Kluyveromyces lactis: one gene and its partner. The protein of the gene in region 1 interacts with the protein of each later gene in a biochemical or structural test. Links are inferred from orthologs where the notes say so. Each region holds a gene or a part of one and is shown on either strand. Other genes may lie near its edges.

What was found.
Region 2: the proteins of CBF5 (region 1) and NHP2 form a complex in vitro, tested with the Saccharomyces cerevisiae proteins (2 studies listed by BioGRID). The link is inferred for Kluyveromyces lactis from reciprocal best matches to the Saccharomyces cerevisiae genes CBF5 and NHP2.

What each region holds. Positions count from the first base shown.
Region 1 is NC_006040.1:407,708-411,357, reverse strand, and holds CBF5 (pseudouridine synthase CBF5), read right to left. Parts: upstream 2,054-3,650; coding exon 629-2,053; downstream 1-628. Other genes in the region: KLLA0_D04774g (uncharacterized protein), read right to left, coding at 2,512-3,650. UniProt on the Saccharomyces cerevisiae protein: Catalytic subunit of H/ACA small nucleolar ribonucleoprotein (H/ACA snoRNP) complex, which catalyzes pseudouridylation of rRNA. This involves the isomerization of uridine such that the ribose is subsequently attached to C5, instead of the normal N1.
Region 2 is NC_006039.1:1,335,789-1,338,383, reverse strand, and holds NHP2 (snoRNA-binding protein NHP2), read left to right. Parts: upstream 1-1,357; coding exon 1,358-1,807; downstream 1,808-2,595. Other genes in the region: active spliceosome conformation promoter CWC2, read right to left, coding at 1-400; SNU56 (Snu56p), read left to right, coding at 2,296-2,595. UniProt on the Saccharomyces cerevisiae protein: Non-catalytic component of the H/ACA small nucleolar ribonucleoprotein (H/ACA snoRNP), which catalyzes pseudouridylation of rRNA and is required for ribosome biogenesis.

The DNA of each region.
Region 1 (3,650 bases):
GATTAATGCGTTAACTTTCTGACCACACTGTACACTATTTTCAAAAAAATATCCTTCGGTAAATGAAGCACGCAACATAAGTTGAGGACGCAATATAATATGCGAGAGAATACAAGGAGAATTATTCAATGATTGTTAATACTGGTAAAGTAAGAAACGGGACGTTTCATTGTGACACCTCGACTTCTGTTCACAATGTAACCATTTGCATAGATTTTAACCTTCATTTACCTTTTTATTGAGCAAATGACATCATGCAAATAAAAGACATACCAATCTGCAAGTTTCCCGACTTCTATTTGGTTCCGAACAATTGATGTCTGCCAAAAAAAAAAAAACTCCAAGTATTATTATCAAATCTTCTATCTACCTCATACATTTACCATTACTTTTTGCCATTACTTCAATTGAAGACGTAATGGTGTCTTCACACGCGCATAAATAATTTACAAATTTATATATACGAATACAATGATATACAACATCGACACAGGGTACAAAAAACAGTCGTGACGAAATACGTTTTTCAATGATTAAAAATATTCTACAGTGTACATAACCTAAATGATAAACTCTATGCAGTTTTGAAATTTCGATCGATGATATGAAGGACTTAGATTGTAGTCGTTTATTTCTTTGACTTCTTCTTCTTCTTCTCGGAAGACTCATCATCGTCAGCCTTTCTCTTCTTCTCCTTCTTCTCCTTCTTTTCCTTTTTCTCCTTCTTGTCCTTCTTCTCCTTCTTTTCCTTCTTGTCCTTCTTTTCTTCTGGTGTCTTTGATTCTTCCTTTGATTCTTCCTTCTGTTCGACTTCCTTCTTTTCTACTTCTTTGATCAGTGGTTTTTCTTCTGATTTGGATGCAGGGGCGGTAGTTGGTTCAGCATTCTCCAATGAAACGTAAGTCTTCTTCCAGGTCTCTGGAGTATTTTCGTTGGCACGGCCATATTTGTCTAGCTTACCGTCAGCCTTCATTTGTTTTTTCTTTTGGGCAATTGGACCAAGACCCCATCTTCTTGGATATAGGTCTCTTTCCATGATACATCTCTTAACCTTGGCAACAACTCCGTGGTCACAAGTAGCTAAATCGACAGTAGACATTTGAGCAATGGCAACTGCAATGGCCTCACCCTTGGTGGTGATTAATACAACTTCGTCATATAATTCAATACCTTCCTCATAACGAAGTAGACCTGGAATCATCAACTTGGCACCGTAACAAACAGCGTTAACAGCAGAATCTTTGACAACAATTCTTTTGTAACCGACTAATAGAGTTTCTAATGGTTGAATGATCTTTCTTAGGTAGGATTCATCCCTGGTGTTATCGTATACCCATTGTGCATCCATAACATCATGTAGGGTGACCAAGTTATCGTTTTCGGACAAAGCACCGGATCTAACACGACGCAACTCTTGCATATGGCCACCGACACCTAAAAGCATACCAAGATGGACACATAAAGTTCTCATATAAGTACCAGCTTCACAGGAAGCCCAGAAAACACCCAAGTTCCTCTTGTTGTCAAATTCGATCAAGTTGGAGTCATAAATGGTACGGACACGTAATTGACGCTTAACAGCAGAAATTAAAGGAGGTCTTTGGAACAAAGCACCAGTCAAATTTTCTAAACCTCTGCCCAATTCCTTCTCGTCCTTAAGGGCATCGTGCAATCTAACGATACAAACATACTCTTTACCAGCACCTTGTTGAGACTTGACCAATCTGGTAGCTCTGTCAACACAGACGATCAAACAACCAGTGACTTTAGGATCTAAAGTACCAGAATGACCTGTTTTTTCGCAACGCAAGATACGCTTGATCCAAGCAACAACTTCGTGAGAAGATGGGTTTGAAGGTTTGTCCAAATTGATGACACCAGAACTGATATATGACTTCAAATCTCTCTTCAAAGGAGAGGCACCAGCTGGAATTGGTGTGTAATGACCACTTCTGACTAATAGTTTGTCATAGTCCTTCAACAATAAAGGCCACTCACTAGTGTTACTAGATGGTGAAACACTCTCTGGCTTAATAACAAATTCGTCAGACATCGATCTCTATCTTACTTATTAGCTTTCTAACGAACAATCCAGTACACTATCTCCTTCAAATATCGAGAGAAAACAATAAAAGGATAGTAGCAACAATATCGTAAAGCAGAATCTACACTAAAGTGACAGTTTTTAGTCCAGTAAGATGAATCTACTTCTAATAGAACTCTATACTTTTCTTGTTAAAGCTCATCTCATCTCATCGTCTTCATCAAATTTTTTTCTTCAGGTAGAAAATTTTCAGATATCTCAAAAAGCAATTATTTCCGGGTAATGAATTATATTCACCTTGACGTTTAAGTATATATGACAGACATTGGAAATAGCATTGCCAAGTGAGAGTAGTTTTTATAGCCTTCTAGGAAGTGAGTTTGCATTTTTATTTAATGGACTAAACTAGCTGCTAATATGTTCATTATGTTAGGTTAAATTCTGTTAACTTAGTACGCTGTTTTCATTCAGATAGATTCCAAGTACTTGGCGTTATAGTTGTTCTTCAAAGCGCTAGCCCAGTTCCTAGTGGATAACTGTGCGATATTTGAAGTTGAATAATCTGTCTCAATTCCAGTTGAAAATATGGAATCTTCTTTGTCTGGCGATAGCTCTGATGTGTTTTGGTTTTGCTTCCACTCTCGGAGCTTTTGTATAATTTGTTTAGCGTTGTGTTTCGACCTTGAGGAACAGTTGCTATTCACATTGGCTACTTTAAGCTCACGGAGTGAATCATTAAAACCTTGTTTTTGTTCTGATATGTAGTGTAACTCTTCGTTTCTATTGTCTTTATTTTCTATGCCATCACTAACACTTGTAATGGTGATCGCAGGTTTGTATTCTGGTTTGGGCTTGTTGGAGACCATATTGTCTCTGATATTTTGGAACATATCTCTTTTCTTCATAAAATAATTCAAAGTCCGGTTTGTAGACCCGAATCTATCCACATTATTGCTGTATATGGCACTAAGCGCAGATTCTGCTTTAAGAGTAACTTTTAAGGCACTACTTAAAGTTTTCTCGTAATTAGTCCTGTAGCTTTGTAGTTCATTATGATACATGTCAGCATTTTTATCTATTTCACGTTTCATCGCTAACAACCTTTTTTGAAACTTCTCATTGAAAAATGCAAGGTCTTCCTTCTTCTTTTTGATAACCTCGTCATGTTTTGACTTTAAAACTATGTTTTCATTACTTAAAATTGCAACTTTTGTCTCAAGTCCCCTGTATCTGCTCTCATTATTTTTTATTTCTGTCACCTTGTTGTCTATTATCAGATCCAATAGACTGATACGGTGGTTTAACTTAACGATTTCCTCTTCTTTTGAATCCAATGCCTTCTCGTAGTCTGTTCTGTCCCAAACCTTTAAAATTCTGCCTCTTTCAGCCTTTGAGAGATCTTTTAATTTAGCAATTTCCCTTTCATGCTTCACTGACAAAAGCTCCAAATCCTTTGCCTTTGTCTCCACTTGCTTTTTCAAAGAACGATTTTCTACCTCCAATGAGCTTATTATAATGTTTTTTTCCGTGACAATGTCCTGTAATTGACGATATGCACTGGCAACTGCCTTCAAAGATTCATTTTCTCTCTCTAACAAAGAGCAAT
Region 2 (2,595 bases), on another chromosome or scaffold:
GTTTCTTGAAGGAACCTACCCCACCCATATCATCTCTATAATCAGCAAATTTCTCTCTTCCAAAACAATCTAACGCAGAGGAATGCAAAGCTAACCTCGCAAAATCATCTGGCTCTGGAATATGATGCAAGTACCGACAATTTTTGCCTAAACAGCACATTCCCTTAGCGAAATACAAACAGAAATGAATCCGACCCTCTTTATCACCTTTAGTGATACCAGAATCGTTCTCGGGATCAAGCGAGTACGGTGTGACGAACCTAGTGGACCCACTTTGCCCCTGTGACCATTTGTTGTACCATACGTTGAAAGCCAAACCCGTCTGAGGCGGTACTGATGAAGGTAGGTCAGACTCCTGTAACTGAACCCTTGCTGGTCGGTTCTTCCAATCCCCAGTCATAATATATTGATGACGATGACCTTAATATTTGGCAATTTGCCAAACCAAGTATTCTTTAATGACCTCGAACAAGCAAACAGTTTGAACCGTCCAATTTATGCAACAACAGATACCGTATTATAACGGTGAAAACTGTATCTTGTCGAGCACACATCTTCCATGTTCATCTCATCGCAGGCCAAAGTGTTTTCAATAAACTTCAAGGTTGGAACTTTTCTTTAGTGAAAACGATCATGATCAAAAACAAAATGGAAACGAAAAAAAGATAAGTCTCCCGGGGGCGAGTCGAACGCCCGATCTCCAGATTACAAATTGCTTTGTGTTTTCAAATTACAGTCTGGCGCCTTAAACCAACTTGGCTACCGAGAGAAGTTACTTGTGTGTTGTAATTTTCAATGATGCTATAACCAAACTTCAAGGTTTACTAAGACTACATTGCCTGACATTAAGAGGTATATGGAGTATTTAAACCTTTTAAAGTATTTAATTATACAAGTGAAGTGATCACAGGACAATAATGCCCTGCACCTGGAACAGCTAATTTCTCCTACAGAGTTTAATCATTGTACATATTGTTCGCCATTTAAAACTCCAAGTTTTGTATGAAATTAAAGGGACTCATCCAGAATAATGTTAGGCGATGGACATTTCTACAACTGCTATGTACCACCTCCGAAACAAGACGCTGGCACGATATTCTGAAAAGTTGTTTATGTGTCGCATGGATTAATTTATGTCGTCCCTACTGTAATTGATACTTTATTTCTTTTTCATGTTACTCGGTACTGGAAAATTTTCATTTTTTGTTAACAAAAAGAAGAGCGATGAGTATGAGAATTGAACTGTTGAATGAATCGATGAACCTATCTTGCTGATGTGATATTGATTCCTTTCTCAATCAATTGCTCGCTCTATTTGAACCAGGGGAACAGTGAAGAACTATACATAATAACAAAGATGGCCAAGGATAAGAGTGTATCAACAGAAGACAACTACGAAGCTAGACTTCCTGCCGTTCTACCATTTGCAAAACCTCTAGCATCAAAGAAACTGAACAAAAAGGTGTTAAAGACCGTCAAGAAGGCTTCCAAGGCTAAGAATGTCAAAAGAGGTGTCAAAGAGGTTGTCAAGGCTTTGAGAAAGGGTGATAAAGGGTTAGTAGTCATTGCTGGTGATATTTTCCCACAAGATGTTATTTCTCACTTGCCAGTTTTGTGTGAAGACCAATCTGTTCCATATATCTTTGTGCCCTCGAAGCAAGATCTAGGTTCTGCTGGTGCCACCAAGAGACCTACTTCTGTTGTATTCATCGTTCCAGGCTCTAACAAGAAGAAAGATGCTAAGGCTAAGGAAGAAGAATACCGTGCTGCATTCGATGAAATTGTTAAGGAAGTAAGCTCTTTGTAGAGATATGAAAACTGTCGACAGAACAACCGGAAAAGAGAAAGTTATAATCGCAAAACACCGAGTGTTTCGTTAATTGCTTCCTGGTGTTGGCTTGTTTAATTAACCCCAACTACTTCCACTTCACAACTACTATTTTTGAACTCTTCTTGCAATGCATATACTGAGACTGCAAGACTAATTTCCAATTGGCATATACCAGTTGATTCGAGCATCTACTTACACCCACCTATCTGTAAAATAAATATTAATATCTATGTACCGAAGTCATCAAATCATATAGATTACTATCGTTAAAAGCACTCTGCAATTTGTGTATTCTGTCTCGATTTGTATACCAGCGTTTTTTCTAACAGTAACAGAAACCAAATAAAAGAAAACATCATATTAAGTAACATTCGTGAAGTACTAACGGAATATGTTGCCCAAGATTAAGATAACCTTCCATCCCATTAATTAAGATCCTATATAAGGGATACAAGCACTCTATAATGTATGGAAAGAAAAGGCAGAGACCGGCCTCTGCAGACTTTCGCCATTCTCCAAATAAGAAACAACAAACAACGTTAGTGCCTAATAAATCCAAAACCGATGACTTATGGAAGGTTCTATCCAATGTAACAGAGGACCAAAGTGTCGCTCAATTACCTATAGACAAGAAAATAAAATACAGCCAAGTGTTCATAAAAATTACGCCAGAACAGCGCCTGAAACTCCCGATTTTCCTTGCAGATTTGAAAAGAGCTTTGGAGTTAGATACAATTACATTGTATGAGATGTTCATCGAGCTC